Linked DNA regions of Mytilus edulis. The main gene of each other region encodes a partner of the protein of the gene in region 2 in a complex. Links are inferred from orthologs where the notes say so. Each region holds a gene or a part of one and is shown on either strand. Other genes may lie near its edges. The genes, in order: NADH dehydrogenase [ubiquinone] 1 alpha subcomplex subunit 5-like; NADH dehydrogenase [ubiquinone] iron-sulfur protein 3, mitochondrial-like.

Region 1 (9,988 bases), on a different chromosome or scaffold from region 2:
CTTCAGCTGGCCCCTAAACAAATATATACTAGTCCAGTGATAATGAACGCCATACTAATTTCCAAATTGTACACAAGAAACTAAAATTAAAATAATACAAGACTAACAAAGGCCAGAGGCTCCTGACTTGGGACAGGCGCAAAAATGCGGCGGGGTTAAACATGTTTGTGAGATCTCAACCCTCCCCCTATACCTCTAACCAATGTAGTAAAGTAAACGCATAACAATACGCACATTAAAATTCAGTTCAAGAGAAATCCGAGTCTGATGTCAGAAGATGTAACCAAAGAAAATAAACAAAATGACAATAATACATAAATAACAACAGACTACTAGCAGTTAACTGACATGCCAGCTCCAGACTTCAACTAAACTGACTGAAAGATTATGATTTCTTACATGTTCAAGAAAAACAATGATAATTTTTTTTAAAATCAAGCTGTGATGCTGTGAAAATGAAAGTCACAGTAAAATGTACTTGCAGGCACTGAGGGGGAAAAATTTGCATTCATCAGGAATTGAAATGGAAAGGTTAAACATTGCATTGTATATATATTATTTAAGCAAAGAAATATAATTATGCAATATTTTGAAATGGGTTATCTTTCTTAGTCCACATTTGAAGGTAAAAGCAGTTTAATTCATAATCTACATGTATGACATACTGCCTGCAACTAGGTAAGTTTTCAAGAAAATACTTTTCTTCACAAGTACATGTACCAACATTGTATGGTGATAACACTTACATGTACACATCATATTGTAACTAGTCTATCTGAGTATATATTATACATGTATGGGCATGAATAGGATCTACAAACATGTAAAGAATTTACATCCATTTTACTATGCTTATTTACTCACAAACACAGATACAGATCTAGAAAAGGCTTACAATACAGCTAAATATCGCTAACCAGATACATGTATTTTTAATGACAATAGGGATGCAATGGCTCTGATTGCAATCTTATTCTTGACCCCAAAAAGCAAGCTCCTGTAACATTTGGAGTGCCCCATGCCAGGAACAGTCCTGGGAGTGAAACTATTAGTACCCAGTTATTTACTACAATTGTATTTCTATAAATGACCTACCATCTAAAGTCTACATAGTCTTGAACTAGACTAATTGCAGAAGATTGCCTCTTGAGGGCTCGCAAGATATTACAAAAAGCTCATGACCAACTGCAATATTGGGAGAAAGACTGGATGATGAGCTGCAACCCAGAAAAATGTGAAGTCATCCGCATAATCTACTAGCAGAAAATAACTGACGACAACTATTCCATTCATGGCCATGTTTTACAAATAACAGATTGGGCGAACTACTTAAGCTTTACAATTGACAGTAAGATCATGAAAAAGGTAAAACAACTCCTTGGGATTCTTGAGAAGAAACATAACCAGTTACCCAAAAACATCAAAGAAACAAGCTACAAGACACTAGTTCACCCACAGATTGAATACTTCGGTTCAACCAAACAACATATGACAGCCATTGAATCTATACATTCATCATTATGACTACAGGAGAGATAGCAGTGTAACAGCAATGTTCCAACAACTACAGTCATTAAGATACAAGTCCCACTGCATCATGATATTTTGTGTCTTCAACCAACTGATCAAAATACCATCACTATCGCTACATGTGGTTTACCTGACAACCAATGGACACACATAGAAATTTCAGCAAGTAGCTCATACCACATACAGCTACCAGGACTCATTCTTCCCCGCTGGTATAGTTCTTTTGAAACTCAAGTTGTTCAAGGAGAGAATAAGCATGTACACTTCTAAGGACCAACTTGTTTTTAAACCTGCTTTTCGTCTGTCTCAAATTAAATGACTCAGATTTAAACTGTGCATAGTCTGATTGTTTGATAATACTCCACAGGAGCCGAGCACAGTAAAGAAAAGAAAAGACGGAGAATATCAAGCACAATCCCTCCTGTTAGATGTTTAGTATTACCCATCATAAAATATATGAGAACATAACCCATATCATGTCAACAACTGCTTACAATGAAAATGATGTCATATATAAAATTCCTAAATTAGGCACCAAAATCTGATATGTTTCAGTAATTCAGATACTCTACATGTATACCAGAAATTATGCTGCAACCAAGGGTCCGGAAACGGTCATATATGCCAGTCTTGACCTAAACTGAAAGTATTTTGTCCTAAATGAGTAATTGGGATTTAGGACAAATTTCATTTTTTTTACAGAAATAATTTCGGTCTTCAATGTCATTTCGTTGAGATCGAGTTTCTAACATTGTCTAAATCGCCATTTTGAACTTATTTTTTGTTTGTTATCCTTTTCCTGTAATAAAACTGCCACTCCAGTAAAGTGTTATAATCCTGAGGGCCCTCCTAATAACTATAGTAATGCCTCTGGGAAATATTGGCTAATGATCGCTAATCTCTTTACCTGTGTTTTTAATTAATTTTTTTATTGATCACGAGCTCAGAACTAATAATTTAAAGAAATTAAAAGTTCATAACAACTGTCTGCATTATTTTATTACTTTTCTCAGCTTAGACAATTGTCAATTCTGATTTAAAATTAAATTAAAATTAAATTAATTTCAGAGAACAAAATATTGTTTCACTACAAACACACATGCTTTGTTTACTAATACGCATGCTTGAAATTCTATTCCGCAAATTAGACACTAAATCGTAAATTCAAAATGATTTCATGCTAAATTAAACAAGTCCAACTATTATAATTAATATTCAAACACTATTAAAGGTAAAACAGTTAAAAAGCCGACGATTTCCTGTGAATTTAAACAAAACTTATCCCGGAAATGAGTCCGGAATTGGTCGTTTTACTATTGTCGTAAAACATCCGGTTATAATTTTGGCTTCCAAATCGAAAGAAACGTAAGCGAAGTTTGATAAATTTATCGTTTTGAGTCATTAAAATCATTTCATTTTTAAACTGTTGCCTTCCTTTTATTGCTCAAGATCGATTTTAAGGAAAATGGTAGGGAAATTTCTGAAGTAAATGCGATGCAACAGTTAAACAAGTTCGTTAATGCTACGAGTATGACTGTATGAGCATACACACAATCTTTGTTTGAAAAAGGGCACCAACTTTAAGTTATCCAAAATGACCGAAATTAGGTGAAACAATTTCCGGATCCTTGGCTGCAACATATTTTTACTATAAATGTTTATACATACACTGTCATGACTGTATGATGTACATGAGATATAAAGTTTTCCGAAGTTTTGTGAATTTCGTCCCCTTTCACAGGTAAAGTAGGATTAAATAGTGTCCCCCATGAAATGATGTCCCATGGACAAAATTTCACAGATATAACCTATGAAATTTGGTCCAGGACATAATTTTATTATAGAATATTGTCCCCTTCTATGTAAAAGTGTCCCTTGACAAGAGATTCTATTGTGACCTTCGTTGGACATTTTTTCATAATGAAATCATGATGTTTTAACATCTTTGAATTACAAGTTTTAATGTTTTCTCTTGTGTTTTTTTTGTCAACATGTATATAATACATTTCATTGCTTTTAATTTGAAACTGCTTTACCTTCCTTCTAAATGATCTTCTATCATTATTTTCAAACTCTGGAGGGTATTGATCATCACACAGAAAGTCATATAGCTGTTTATATTCACCACTTTCCATTTTTGTTTACATCTGTGTTGTCTTTATTTAAATTTCAATTATGATTTAACTAATTGATTAAAACATTTCAATGATTGCTAAATTATTTCCCTTCTTTAGGGACAGAAAAAAATAGCTACACTATGAAATATTGTCTTTTGTGACATATTTTTATAAAACATCCATGAAATTATGTGCAAGTACTAGGGACAATTTTTCACCTAGGGGGACACGATTTTATAGTTAAAAAATGTGATATTCTGTCCCATGAACAAAATTTCACAGATGAACTGTGAAATAATGTTCTAGAGGACACAATTTCATGGGACACTTTTTTGGCTTACAGTTTTGTTAAAACCTCTTAATATGCTAGTTTTTGTAAGTGTACGTTTAGATGTTTCCAAATGTTTGACAAAATAAGAAAATATTAAATAACTTCTCAAGGACACATCTTTCTGCTTCAAATAAATGGACTTTTACGTTTAGTCAAGTCATTATATTTTTCCTTGTAAATTCGAGTCAAAAATGAGAGTCTCTATCAGACAAGGTATATATAAAAAATAATTCAATGTACAATCATTGCTTATCGCCTAAACTACATATAATTTACTTTTTTCAGGTAGCCTGCCATTTCTACCGGAAGTTTATATATTTCGGAACATCTCAGCATTTTTCTATCTTTTCACGGTTTTCCCGCCATATTAATGATTTTGATCAACAACTTTCTTACCGACGTACAATACTCAGTTACTACGAACTGTCATCTAGAATTAACCACTTGAACCGACTATGGAAGAAATAAGCAAACAAAATAGTAATAACCAATTTACTGATGAAAATCATTAGTCAGAAAAATGCTCACAATTTAACAATGGGAACAAACTGCACTACGTAGTGACAGAGACATGTATACTGTATTTATATGTCTCTGGTATTGACTATTGTTTATTCTTCAAGGGCAAATCGAGTAACTCGATGTCTGATGTCATTATCCCATTGCCATTCTCAATTTATTAAATATTAGTGAAGACCTTTCTTTGAGAATGGCAATGGGGAATATGACAAGAAACAACAACCTAACCAAAGAGCAGATAACAGCTGAAGGCCATTATTGGGTCTTCAATGCAGCGAGAAAATAGATTAATGAAGACCTTTCTTCTTTGTTAAAGAACAGTCTCAAATACCTGGCCATTAAAGTCTTTGATCAATTTACAATATAGGAATAAGAAAATGAGGTTAATGATTGCCCAATGAGACAACTCTTCAAAAGAGACCAAATGACACAGAAACTAAGTTCCTTTTTGTTAACACTATTTTTTATACGACCCCAAAAAAATTTTGGGTTCGTATAATGGTATGATGTCGTCGTCTGCGTCGTCAGCGTTGTCTGCGTTGTTGTCGTCCGAAGACACTTTGGTTTCCCGATAATAACTTTAGTTTAAGTGAATAGATCTTAATGATTTTTTTTCAGAAGGTTCAATACCACAAAATGAAGGTTGGGATTTATTTTGGGGATGATGGTCCAAACCGTTTAGGAATTAGGGGCCCAAAAGGGGCCAAAACAAGCATTTTTCTAGTTTCAGGATAATAACTTGTTTACCAGTATTTCAATTGCTCTGAAAGTATACTGCAATGTTTAAAATCACAAGTAGAAGGTTTGGATTCATTTAAGGGGTTATGGGGCCAAAGTTTAGGAATTAAGGGCCAAAAAGAAGCATGTTTCTAGTTTCCAAACAATCATGACAATAACTTGTGTTTAAGTGTATGGATCTCTCTGAAATTGTACTACAAGGTTCAATATTACAAAGGAAAGCATGGTATTGAGTTTAAGGGTTATTTCTCCAAGGGGGAGGTTTCAATAAATTGGGGGGCGGGGGTCTCAGTTTACCATTTTTTTAAGGGATTTTTTTTTTTTTTTTTTCAACATTTTTCAAATTTTGAAAAGTTTCAATAATAAATATTCAATTGCACAGTATTGTGCAATAGATGTGTTAGATCTTGAGCCACATTAATTAATTGTGGCAAAAATCTATATTATGTCAAAAATTTGATCACATTCAAAATTCAGACAGTATCGAGCTTGAATATTGTGACCAAATTTGCCCCAACTGTTCAGGGTTCGACCACTGGGGTCGTATAAAGCTACGCCCTGCGGAGCACCTGGTTAAAATAATTTTATCTCTTTTCTGTGATGTAAAATCATTGTAAAATTTAAAGGGGCACTAGCTATAAGATATATAAAAAGTCTAAAGTTTGATTTTTTTTGTTCAATCAATAATGAAAGTGAAATAACAATTCGCTTTTTGCAGCCAAAAAGGTTCAATTTTGTCAAATTACGCTAAAAAACATTGATAATTAGTTATTCACTTGCAAGTGAATGAGTCAACCTCTTTAAATCCGTATTCATGTGAACTTCAATTTAACCTCTTGCTAGAGATTGACAACACATGCATTGTACGTGTACTTGGTTATTTAAAGAAAAAGAATGTCAACAATGAAAGTGAAACTACAGTAATTCATTTGATTACTAATTCGATGCACATAAAATCATTCTTATACGATTAAAAGCAATGAGAAACATCTATTTTTAATCTATAAAATAAAATCAAACAGACCTATAAAAATCCAATTGCACATATTGGTTTAATCTATTCATATCTTTATTTATGTTTACATCGCTTATATGGTCATCTGAGGTCAAATTGAGAGTTAATTAGATGGCGTCTGGACTAAAATACACTCGAAACGAACCTATATATTATCTACCCCATGCTCTGTAAACTGTTTATTTTAGACTTTTGATAATTTAGATAAATGTTTTACATTGTTATAAATCAAATATGAGAACTTGAGTCAAATTGTTGACCATGAATTTGACAGCTGGTGCCCCTTTAAATTTTATAATCAGTATAGTGTTAATGTTTTGTTAAATTTAAAAAAAAAAAAATTTATAAGATATTTGTTTATTTATTTTAAAAAAAATTCGTTTACTTATTTGTTTAAACAACTAATTATTTAAGGAAATTATGTTATTGTTATTGGAGAACTGCATTTTGTTACCGTGATTGAAACATTAACAGAAATATTTTATGGCACATATATTGATTGCAAATAACCGAAATTTTGTGCTTAAATTGTTTGAAATTGTTTTCTAAATTTCCAATATTGATTGATACTATTTACTGGTTATTTTTATATAATTCTATATCACACATTAGATCAATTTTACTTTACAATACCTCATTAAATAATAACTAATAATCAATGGGACATATTATTGATCTTTTTGTCTTGTTTTCCCTTTCTTTAGGATATGGAATAATCCAGCCAGCTTCCTGCAGGCTTACAGTACAAATTCCTGGATACCTTTATTGATATCCAAAACCATGCCATATTATACATGTAAGTAAAACAATATGCTACACATTTGCTACAAAGCACCTAAAAATAAGGTGCAATTTTATTTTGTCATTTATGCATAAAAAAATCCCAAAATATGCATTATTTTTTGTAAACATTAGAAAAAGAGTGTTTTTAATTATTTATTTATGTAAATTGTTGATAGCAGATGTAATATCAGGATGAAAATTAGAAATTCTACAAGGAAATCAATGATTCACCTTAAATGATATTATGACAGACTATTACTGCATATTCAGATGGTATTGGTAAAAATCTATGAATTCTATTGATGAAACTATGGCATGATACTTTATAAGATTGCAGACATTGATCTATACCAATATTCTATGAGAACTTGTTTCTGCTATTCAATTATTAAGATTTATGAGACCAATAATAATGGTATGACATGATAACTATTATGTTATTATTTTAACATGCAATTTATATGTTGTTGTTTTTATAATTTATTTTATTTTTATTTTTTACTATAAGTACCCATGTTATGCATATGAATCATGAAATATTTATGGTAATTCTTAAAATTAAAATTATATTATTGAGTAATTGTTCAAATTAAACAAAATAAAATAATATTTGAAATATATTGTAAAATAACTTTTTTATTGAAAAATCTTTACAAGAAATCCCGTCACTTATCTTGGCAAAAGTCTTTTTTGTTATTTCAAATCAAATCAGATGTCACAACACCGATTATTTACCAATCAGCACAGGATATTTTAGCCAACTATAAAAACATTTTAAAGGTAAAAAATAAACAGATTCAGAAGGGGGGCTGGGGGGCCCCGGGCCCACCCTTTTGTGGGAAAATTTTGTTGATTATATAGGGAATAACAGAAGCATGACTGAAGTGGGCCAGGCCCCCTCCCTTAAGTCAGTCAGCGGGCCCTACTTATGGAAAGGTCTGGATCCGCCACTGTTAATTTATTGGGCCATTACAGACTTTCTCAACCATTATTACAGACCTTGGATATATAACAGGGCCATTATAAAAACACTGCATGCATACTATAATAGCTCACTCTTGACATGCATATAGTTGTTTTTGGCTTGAAAAACCTTTGCAACTCCATTTCACTTTTACATTCCAAATGGACAAGGTTGCATACCGGTACCTTTAACTTCTTTTTTCAAGAAATTTTATCAGTGGATTTATATAAAACCATTCTTTGATAACTTAAGGTTTTGAGGGCTTCAAAATTCATTAAACAATCAAAAGGGGTTTGTTACTATTTGCCTGGTTTACTTTCCATAAGAACTCAGAGACAACCTCAGGTTTGTATGGATATTAAACCCAGCAAATAGTAACCCCCCCCCCCCCCCCCCCATGTGAACAATCCAAACAATTGTAAGAAGGGTCCTTTCTGGACATTTCAGGGATTTCAAGTTGAAAAGAATATATTTGTATATATATGAGTGAGAGATAAAATGGGACTATCTTTATAAAGTTTTTCTTACAAAGTTTTTCTATTTTTCACGAAGATTTTTGAGAAGTATTACAGTAGCTTCTTAATTTAAACCATAATTAAGGAAACATAGAGTGTAGGTTCATTTTGTGAGATAGTTCATTTGTTTTAACAAGCATAATGTTGAAAAAGATTTGTTGCTGACACATATCCTTTATATTTCTGGCCAAAAAACCCAAGGGAATGTGCATTCTTAATTTTTATGTATTATTGAATATGGGGGAACAGTTATTTTGATTATTATGACACCATTATAAGTCTTACTATTTTTGTCATAATGTCATCAGTTTATTTCAGTGGCGGATCCAGAAATTTTCATAAGTGGGGGCCCACTGACTGACCTAAGAGGGGCCCCGCTCCAGTCAGGCTTCAGTGATTCCCTATATAAGCAACCAATTTTTTTTCCAAAAAGGGGGGGGGGGGCCTGTTTACCCCCCCCCCCCTAAATCCGCCTCTGTATTTTTCCACTCAATAATTTGAATGTCACTTTGGTATCTGGAGCCTCTTTTTGAAAATTAGTTGGAAATATAAGGGCCTAATGAATCTTACTCCTTTTAAACCTGGCTCTTACTTCCCACAAATATCATTCAACGTTTGCCAATTTTAATAATTTGAACAGGTTTTGGTTTATTATACCTCAAGACATCACCTAGCAACAGATGCAATGTCACAAGAAATTATCAATTTGTTGATTCATCTGGCCAAGGCCTCACTAAATTAATTTGTTGCTTATGGATTTTTCCCCCTAAAAATATGGACAACATGGACCAAATTTATTTGAAACAGTTTATAAAAACAAATAGTTCAAGAACTTGAATGATTTTTTGTGCTTTAATTGAATGATAGATCGAACATTTACAATGTTTTCTGTTTTCAACCTAAAATACCAAAATTAAAGCAATACAGCCATAGATTCTTTACAATATTGGGAAGAAAATAAAAAACTTCAGTGGGCATTAAGTTATGACAAATCAGAAAATTTATCTTTATTGTCATTCAAAATAAGTTTGGAAAATAATATAAAATGTGTTCTGTACAAATAATGGGAAATTTAATATGCTTGATTCAATGAAAGAGAAAACTGGAAAAGTTAATGGAAACTTAATGACAATGCAGATAATTCAAATTTGATTCGACTGATGGTAATACATCTTTTATGCAATTTTCCCAGTGTTTGGTAATGTTCCAATACCCAGGAAGGATTGATGTTAAGTGTAACTTGAAAATCCTAGAGCTAATATTTACCTGTAAAAACCAGCATTTTTCAAAACACATTTCTAATTCTATGGTACCTTTAAGATAAGAAAATGTTGATCAATGTGATTTGTGTGTATGCAATATGAATACAATGAATACAATGATGAGCTGTAATGCTCAAAGTTAATAAAGAATTCAAATTTGAATTTGAATGTTTTTTCTTTAATAGTATTCACAGTTGAAATTGAGCAAGGAGCC
Region 2 (9,973 bases):
GTGTTTTGAATCTGCTACTATATTGTTTGAATGAGTATGAGTGTGCTTTATATCTCATTTGAATGAGTATGTGCGTGCTTTATATCTGAGTATGTGTGTGCTTTATATCTGAGTATGTGTGTGCTTTATATCTCATTTGAATGTCTGTTTTGACTCTGAGGTGTTCAGTGTACCTATGTAAGATTTTTTTTTTACATTTCACATTTTTTTTAAACAATTTCAAAAGTTAATCATGTTTATATGATTCAACATGTGAAATTGGTTAAATTTTACCCAATCATTTTTTTTATAAACCTAACAATTTGCAAAGATATTTGGGTAGCAATACACAGTTAGTTTAGTTTCACATTTTGGGTCCTGTGGATTTTTCAAAAATGAAAGTTTTATTGTCATATAAAATTCATTTCAAGACAGCTGATGACTAATTTTGCCTTCACAGTCACTTTATAAGATTATTTGACATGTTTTATAAATGGGCTACTTTCTTTTTGATTATCCATATTTTCATATCCTGATCATCGGCCATGATGGCCATAGGTCCAGAAACTAATGGCAGTGCTAATATCCTTGCTTATTCATATCCAATGAATCAAAAAACACCATACACTTTAATAATATTTATTTTTTCTATAGCTTTTACTAGAAATGTTCAAAATATAACCAAATAGACACAAATTGTGAGAAGAAAATGAACAGTTACAGTACTAGTAATATTTACAATATATAAATTTTTGCAGTTATCATGCCAAATGGAAAACAATTATCATAAAAACTTTTCTTTTAAAACTTGACAAGAGAGTTTGTGGTAAACTTATACCATATAAACATGCAACAATCCTATGGTCTTATATATATATATGATGTATGTTGGTGATGTTTTATTGTATACTACATTTGTATCTCAAAATACATTTAAACCAGCTTATCCTATCCATTATTTTTTTCTTTCATTTCACATAATTCACAAATCCCATTTAATTCCTATAATCAAGTTTAATTTTGTGTGGTTTCATAAGGAATACTTCTCAGTCTACAGCAGGTTATCATGGTTATATAAATATAATATTTTTAAAATTAAGTCAAAAGTTATTTCTGGTTTTATTTTCAAATGTCATATATATAGTCAACTAATTTCAGACTAATTTAAAAAATATTACATAAATTATGTTACTCATAATAATCAAAATTAAAACCCCAAAAAAACTTTTCCCTTTAACAGTAAAAATAATAATTACGAGATGTTTGGTTTGTAGAATCTGTTGTCTGTAATCTCTGACACTGTGCAACAACTGGATTAGCTTTTAGTACTAAAAAAGAAAAATTAATGTTCAATAAAGTAAAATTCTTGTGTGTGTATTTTGTTAATTTTTGCTTCTAAAATGTGAAATTTCAACAGATATTCAAGGTCAAACAAAATTTAAAACAGATAACAAAGTATTAAAATAGCTCTTAGTATAACTGTATAATACTATTTTATTCTAAACAACATACTAATTTTCCAATTTGAAAATTTTTGTTCACTGGATTATATTTTTCAAAAATTCAATAACTTGTGAAGTAAAAAGGTTCTAAAAGGTAAAGTGACAAAACCTATTTACTAGTTGAGATGATCAATGATAATCTGTTTATTGCTATTTTATCTATGACGATGTTGATGTTTATATTGACATGGGCATGTGAGCTGAGCATAGTTTTTAGCGATAATTTTTCATATCACTACTGTGCTGAGAAAGGACAATAGACATCTACACAAAACTAGTTGAGTTAAAGGGTGTAACTACATGTAAGTGGACAGAGTATTTCATCTGTTTCTACGTATAGACTGTCAAAAGAAACAGTAAGTGCAAATCTGTAAACATGGTAAATATATTTTTGAATAGTATTAACGAGGAACACTGAAATGGGAAGAAGTTTAGTCCTATGACAGAAGAATTCGGTCCATGTTAGGCCTAGTCCGAGATTACCCTGACATCCAACGGCTGTTTTGCCAGACAAGCTGGGGCCGTGGGACATCACTGCTTGTCCCATATCAAAAAGTGGATATTTGCCCATCCAAAAATACATGTAGATGCGCTGCTTCATTGCTTCTGGTGCCAACTAATGGCCTTGAAATAATATAAAACAGGTATCAATTTGTTCATTTTTTGTTTATCTCTTCATTTATGTACAAAATGTAAGCCTCACCTACCTGCAACCCTTTATTTTTCCATATTGAAAGTTTTCACATTGACCCATCAATTCAGATATTTTTACTTTTATTTTCTAAAGGATGTCAAGTTACGAGAGATTTTGCGACCTCGAGACTCAAATATACAAATATTTATACTTTTTTCAACTCCTTTATAGGAGATCAATGTTTAACATTCAGTAGCCAAACACGATTTTTTCACCTCCTTTACAGGAGATTGGTATTAAGCATTTAGTGCCAACCACAATCAGTGATCGGGAAGGTCGTGCGCCTATAGCGCATATCGACCAGAAATGGCGCATAGAGTGACTTACAATGTATGTAAGCGCCCACGTGGCGCACGATATTTTTCACTTCGTTTCGATAAGTTTAGATATCGTCAAATGGATTTCCGATCGTGTTCCGTGCCGCCATGTGTGTGTACACAACTGTGTAATGTTCCTCCAATGATAGGAGCACCTATATATTTTTGGGACGTCTCGTGTGTTTTCCTATGGAAATAATAGAACCATGGGGTGTAACTGATTACCCAAAAAACGTAATTAACCATCATTCATGATATGATTTTTTACAACCTTAAATTTGTAAAATTTGGCTAGTACAGACGATATTTGTCTCTAATTATTATCTTTTAACTTAGTTCAGCTTGCTACTATTTCGATTGAAAAAACCCCAAAGCCTTTTTATGAATATAGTTTTTGTCTCCATAAAAGGCAACTAACTGTCCTTGTCACTTTTTGGTCTTTGGCTTGTTTTGACATTTTGTAAACATGCCTTCAGCGAATTGTTGCTTTGTTTTATCAATTAATGATACTCTCTAATGTTATTGTTGTCATCGTGATGAAGTAATAATAATACAAGAAGTGCAGAGGAAATGCCAAATACGTCCTCTAATACGGAACGTCGGGAATAAGTATGGAATCGACGAAGACCCAAATTTAATGTAAAAAAAAAACCCATGCACATGAACAAGACAACAGTAGCAGTAGAAACATTGTAAATAAAGGATATCTTAAATATTATCTGGTTTGGAAGAAATTATTTTACATTCTTTGTTGAATTGAAATAACAAAATCACAGGCACAATATCTATAATATTATTTAAAATCATAAAGGTAAGTACCACCATCTCTTTGCCGAGATATACACTTTTCACTTTTTTCACTGTAGTCGATTCAAATGGCCCATTCATTTGACATGGCCCATTATTTTTTTAAATGGCCCCTTGAATTTAATTTTGAGGGGCCCTGGGCCCATAGAGAAAAAATCCTTCCAGATCACTGCACAATAACAATCGGAAGCTCTCAAACATTTAGATTACTTGCATCGTAAATGAACGAGGTCGGAGGATTTCGATTATGGTCATTTGATATAAATCATCACTTTTTTCTCGTGGTCACATGATAATCTGACATCCTTTTGAAAATAAAAGTAAAAATGTCTGAATCGATGGGTAACTGTGAAAACTGTTTAAATATGGAAAAATAAAGGGTGTCCAGTAGGTGAAGCTTACATAAATGAAGAGATAAATGAAAAATGATCTAATTGATACCCATTTTATATATTAATTCCAAGGCCGTTAGTTGGCACCAGAAGCGACAAAGCAGTGCATCTATTTTGGATGGGCAAATATCCAGTTTTTGATATGGGACGAGCTCTGACGTCCCACGGCCCCAGCCTGTCTGGCAAAACAGCTGTTGGAAGTCAGAGTTATCTGGGACTATATGTGGTTCTAATGTAATTATTATGTTACTTTTTGACAATTATTCTGAGCATTAGTGGGTCTCATTGGGGTCCAAGCGTGACACGGGATCACCGATTTTTTGTAAACGTGACATGTGAAAGTCAAATTATCATGATTATTGTGTCATGAAAACGGGAAATGAGGTCTAGCAGGACCAGGGAAATGACAAAAAAAAATGAGAATTGCTTACGTACATAGTGTAAGCGGGATACGGAAATCTGACAAAACAGTAAGCGGGATCCAGGATCGGAACCCCCAAATGAGACCCCCATCATAGATAGCTATGGAACCATAGCTGTTAGGTCCTTTTGATAAACTTTGGCAGTTGCTGACCAAAAATGAAATTTTATGACAATTTATCTTTGTTACAAAAATTGTCAAAAAATATAACTTGACCAGGGCAGTTGACAGTTTCAACTCTGACATATTAAAGATATGTTATAAGGAAGGCTAAAGTTCCGCTGTCTAGCGTACTCAAATCGTCAAAAATATTTCATAAAACCAATTGTTATTAAATTCATTTTCACATACAGTGTGTTCGGTACAACTTTGTTACTACAGCAGGTCGGAAAAGTCGACAAAATCGACTCGCCATTTTGACCTTCTTAGGGGATAAAACATGCGGGGAGAGAAACTAGAAAAATTGTGTCGTGTAAAGGTCTGACAAGGCACCGATCTAAAATGTTTGCAATAAAGAAATCAAACGGTCATTTTTAGTACGGCTATTATTCGTTGTTTATAAATTAATTCAGTTTTTATGAGGAATATATATATATATATATATATAAAGGCCAGGCAAACTGTTATACCATGTTATACATCATTGAGGGATACCTATATACAAAATATAAATAAACATTTTAATTTCAATTTTATTAAATTGCAGTCCACTATAACACTGAAGCATTTGACTGCACTTTTAAATAGCAGTCTACCAGTCATTAAAAAAATCACCATAAAGTATATTAATGATTGTTTTTTATTGAGAACATCTGTATAACTTGTATTTCTTTTAATATGCAACCTAATTTTTGTTTGTGTTCTTTTTTTAATTGTTCATGAAAATTAATAATGGGTTAACTGTTGATATTTATAGTCTTTTTCTTCTTGCTGTGAATACCACTGTCACTCTAATATAATTATAATCAATTTAACTATTGTCAGTTTATTGTCTTAATTTTGTATGCCATAACCATTTAATGTAAATGTGTTTGTGCTTAATGAAATATTGTCTATTGTCTATACGTTAAATATACAGTAGAACAAGCAGCACTTTTCTCCCTTTGAACAGAAATACATTTGTTTTATCTTCTTCTGTAAACGGAAACACTATGATGTTATTATTACATTTACTACAATTAGGCTGATCAAGTCAATTTACATATAATACATTATTTAAGAATTGAATGCTTCTTTTCGTAACTTCATTGGTGTGTAAAAGCGTTGACCGAAGTACATTTTGTATTTCTAAAAATGTGCGCACGGTCAACGCTATTACAACCCTATGAAGTTACAAAAAGAAGCATTCAATATAATTACATTTTTAGCTATGATCATAAAAAATGAATTTTATAATTTTGTTTAATTGATTCACTTGTGCACTTTATTGTGGGACCACGTGTTATCATGAAAGATAAGTTTTATTGAGTAATGCAATTGCTTGTCTATATATATAATGTTGGACTATGTATTGACCTCTGAGTGAGTGAGGTTATGTGTGTTTTGGGTTCCAGTCTAATGTTGGACTATGTATTGACCTCTGAGTATGTTAGGTTATCTGTGTTTTGGGTTCCTGTCTAATGTTGGACTATGTATAAACCTCTGAGTGAATTAGGTTATCTGTGTTTTGGGTTCCTGTCTGATGTTGGACTATGTATTGACCTCTGAGTGAGTTAGGTTATCTGTCTTTTGGTTTCCTGTCTAATGTTGGACCAAATGTTATTCTCTGAGTGAGTTAAGTTATCTGTGTTTTGGGTTTCTGTCTAATGTTGTACTATGTATTGACCTCTGAGTGAGATAGGTTATCTGTGTTTTGGGTTGCTGTCTAATGTTGGACTATGTATTAACCTCTGAATGAGTTAGGTTATCTGTGTTTTGGGTTCCTGTCTAATGTTGGACTATGTATTAACCTCTGAGTGAGTAAGTTATCTGTGTTTTGGGTTCCTGTCTAATGTTGGACTATGTATTAACCTCTGAGTGAATTAGGTTATCTGTGTTTTGGGTTCCTGTCTAATGTTGGACTAAATATTAACCTCTGAGTGAGTTAGGTTATCTGTGTTTTGGATTGCTGTCTAATGTTGGACTAAATATTAACCTCTGAGTGAGTTAGGTTATCTGTGTTTTGGATTGCTGACTAATGTTGGACTATGTATTAACCTCTGAGTGAGTAAGGTTATCTGTGTTTTGGGTTGCTGTCTAATGTTGGACTGAATATTAACCTCTGAGTGAGTTAGGTTATCTGTGGTTTGGGTTGCTGTCTAATGTTGGACTATGTATTATCCTCTGAGTGAGTTAGGTTATCTGTGTTTTGGGTTCCTGTCTAATGTTGGACTTACTATTAACCTCTGAGTGAGTTAGGTTATCTGTGTTTTGGGTTGCTGTCTAATGTTGGACTATGTATTAACCTCTGAGTGAGTTAGGTTATCTGTGTTTTGGGTTCCTGTCTAATGTTGGACTAACTATTAACCTATGAGTGAGTTAGATTATCTGTGTTTTGGGTTGCTGTCTAATGTTGGACTAAATATAAACCTCTGAGTGAGTTAGGTTATCTGTGTTTTGGGTTGCTGTCTAATGTTGGACTAAATATTAACCTCTGAGTGAGTTAGGTTATCTGTGGTTCGGGTTGCTGTCTCATTGGTATATAACGTCATCCCTTGCTATGTAATCCAATGTTATTTCCCATACGTGACATCATTTTTTTCGAAACTTTGTTATTAAGAATACGCAACAAAAGTTAAAAACTCCTTGTAACATTGTGCATTTTAGATGTGATTATCATAGAAATCATCTATATAATCATGTGCATGCATATTAGGTTATTGGCTTCTACAATTTCTAAGCAAATTTTTTGTGTTTGTAAATGACATATTTGGTCTGCACTTTTCCAAGTAGTAGATAATAGTAGAAGATAGTGTCAACAAAATAACACACGTTATTCAAGTAAACTTATATGTTGTCTTTTTATTGGTAATAACATTTGTAAGTTGCCCCTAAAAATGCCGTCTTTTGATAGAAGGTGTTCGTCATTGTCTGAGTAAACGATTGATTATCTTTTCGTGAAATTTGTTCTTTTTGTTCAATAACTTGACGTGTAAAATGAAGAGCAGCATGGATTGAAATAGCAGTTCTGAGTATATGTTTGCTTTAAAGAAATGAAAAGTCCTACAAATGAATAAAAAGGGGATTACTGAAGGGTCAAAGTTATAAAACCAAAATGTAGATTAAAAACAAGGTTTTTTTTAAATTGAATCCGCACATTAATCAATTTCTACGAATGATTTTTTGAGAAGAAGAAATCGTGAAATTCAGTTAATATAAGGAACATCGACATGAAGAGGGTTCTGCAAAGCAATAATTTTTAACAAACGCTTGCAGACAATGTTAAATATATGGTAAAAGTAAGGTGTAGTATTAATTTGTTCACAGTTAGATTTATAGTCCATCAACCGCATATATACTAGTAATCCAGAGACCACATGACAGGTCGTTTTGTCTCGCCGGCGATTCAAGATGACCTGCATGTTCCATACCTTGTAAACAGAAGGTATATCTATTGCTTATTTTAAACTATATTTGATTGTAGTATATATGGTACCCTTGCAATGTCTACGTACTACCAAGTTCACCTATCTCAGGAATATATTACCTTAGCTGTATTTGGCAAAACTTTTAGGAATTTTCGGTCCTCAATGCTCTTCAATTTCGTACTTTATTTGACCTTTTTAACTTTTTTCGATTCGAGTGTCACTGATGAGTCTTTTGTAGACGAAACGCGCGTCTGGCGTTAATATAACATTTCAATCCTGGTATTTATGATGAGTTCATTTACAACCACTGGGTCGATGCCACTGCTGGTGGAGTTTTAAGTCCCCAATCCCCAAGAGTATCACCAGCCCAGTAGTCAGCACTTCCGTGTTGACTTGAGTTATCATTGGTATGTTCATAATTATGAATTGACTGTTAACAAAACTTTGAAGTTTTGTTTGAAATACTAAGGCTTTTCTACCTCAGGATTAGATTACCTTAGCTGTATTTGGTAAAACTTTTATGAATTATTGGTCCTCAATGATCTTCAATTTCGTACTTTATTTAACCTTTTTAACATTTTTCGAATCGAGCGTCACTGATGTGTCTTTTGTAGACGAAACGTGAGTCTGGCTTATCAATCCTGGTATATATGATGAGTTTATTTTCATCATCGTCAGTACTTGTTACGTCAATCAGATGGGTATTGACACATCTTGACATGTATCATTGCTTAATATGGGCATGCAGTTCCCTTTGACCTTTCTTACGTTGTGTTCTTTTCCCAACTTGTTTGCTATGCCCTATCTGAAATGGTTTTTCAGATTTCAATGAACTTAATCTATGTTCAACTATTCAATTATTCAAATTCATACTATATTCTTTCATAGATATAAATTAGAGTATGGGCCTGTCCAATACAAGAACTCTGGAATTCATTGATTGTCGATGGTTCCTGTCACGTGTTATAGCTGTTATATCTTTTTTTAGTATTTGTTTTGGCTCTAAATCAAACCGTTAATTGATTTTTTTTTCTATTGAATAGTTTCACAATAATCATGGTGGGGTATTTAATAACTGACTATATACATACGATATATGTTTTGTTCATTGTTGAAGGCCTTACAGTGTCCTATAATAATGGCAACACTAGGTATCTTTTCATTATACTGGATACCAAAACTTCACAAAACTCCATAAAAAGAACGATACATAGCTGGGTCATCAAAATGTTCGACTAAATATCTTTCTAAAGTACTGACTACTATTCTTTCTACAGTTAAAAATGGGCTTCAAAAAATATTGTGATGATATGTATTCTACCAGGGTTGTCTGCTGCTTTTAAATCTTCGATCACAATCTTTTTCAATTTTGCAGCAACATAAAGACTTTTGATTTTTCTACGCTTTACACTACTATTCCCCATGCTCAGTTGAAAGATCGATTTCACCATCTCATTAAACAGAGCTTTTTCTATAAAAATGGGAATCGTAGATCAGATTTCTTGTTTTAGGTTACAATAATTCATCTTTAGAGAAGAACGCACTGAATCTACCAGAAAATATACTGAAGATAATTTTATCAAAATGCTGGACTTTTCGATCGACAATATATTTGTTGAGTTTGTAGGATTGATATTCCAATGGGTACTAATTGTGCACCCCCTACTGGCCGATTTGTTTTTGCACTCGTATGAAGCAGAATTCATTCAGAACCTTCTATAAGACAAAAAGATAAAGCACCTTGCAAAATTCTTGAATTTTAATTTTAGATATATTCATGATTCTATCATTGAATAACCAATATTTCAGCCAATACTTTCATCTCATTTATCCCCGTGAACCTTGAAATTAAGGATACTACTGATACTAGAAGGACTGCTTCATACCTTGATCTTTTCCTCAATATTGACACAGATGGACTACTTCACACGAAAATCTATGATAAACGGGACGATTTCAACTTCCCAATTATCAATTTCCCATTTCTCAGCAGTAACACACCCTCTGCCCCTTCGTATGGTGTTTACATATCTCATTTTATACGTTATGATTGTGCATGTTCACACTATACGGACTTCATATAGAGGAGTGTGCTCCTAACGCAGAAAATGCTCTCTTTGGCTAACATATAATACGTTGTTCGGCTGTGCCTTTATTATGTGCTAGCTGATTTGGTTTGTTTGTTTTACGTATTCATTTTTATTCTGTAGTTAGTCACCACTTCGGTGTTCACATGTATATCTATTATATAGTAATTTTTATGAATTTACTTTTTGCAAAAGTATGAATTATTTT

What was found.
Region 1: the proteins of NADH dehydrogenase [ubiquinone] iron-sulfur protein 3, mitochondrial-like (region 2) and NADH dehydrogenase [ubiquinone] 1 alpha subcomplex subunit 5-like are in contact, whole or in part, in a cryo-EM structure (PDB 8ESW), measured with the Drosophila melanogaster proteins. The link is inferred for Mytilus edulis from reciprocal best matches to the Drosophila melanogaster genes ND-30 and ND-13B. Residues at the interface, in NP_647775.1 of Drosophila melanogaster: Tyr66, Glu69, Cys70, Leu71, Pro72, Lys73, Tyr74, Val75, Gln76, Lys77, Leu89, Ile90, Ala91, Pro92, Glu93, Val96, Pro97, Gln100, Phe101, Asp104, His105, His106, Gln107, Gln109, Val119, Val121, Cys123, Arg124, Asn126, Glu129; in NP_648409.1 of Drosophila melanogaster: Tyr28, Ser43, Tyr44, Tyr47, Thr48, Leu51, Arg55, Cys74, Gly75, Glu79, Gln83, Ala84, Asn86, Glu87, Ile89, Leu90, Lys93, Met94, Trp97, Lys98, Pro99, Trp100, Glu101, Lys102, Leu103, Val104, Gln105, Ala106, Ala107, Pro108.

Annotation. Positions count from the first base shown.
Region 1 is NC_092344.1:97,505,607-97,515,594, forward strand, and holds the start of NADH dehydrogenase [ubiquinone] 1 alpha subcomplex subunit 5-like, read right to left. Parts: upstream 4,348-9,988; 5' UTR 4,315-4,347; coding exon 4,255-4,314; intron 1-4,254.
Region 2 is NC_092348.1:8,636,055-8,646,027, reverse strand, and holds the start of NADH dehydrogenase [ubiquinone] iron-sulfur protein 3, mitochondrial-like, read right to left. Parts: upstream 4,594-9,973; 5' UTR 4,528-4,593; coding exon 4,464-4,527; intron 1,308-4,463; coding exon 1,236-1,307; intron 1-1,235. UniProt on the Drosophila melanogaster protein: Core subunit of the mitochondrial membrane respiratory chain NADH dehydrogenase (Complex I) that is believed to belong to the minimal assembly required for catalysis. Complex I functions in the transfer of electrons from NADH to the respiratory chain.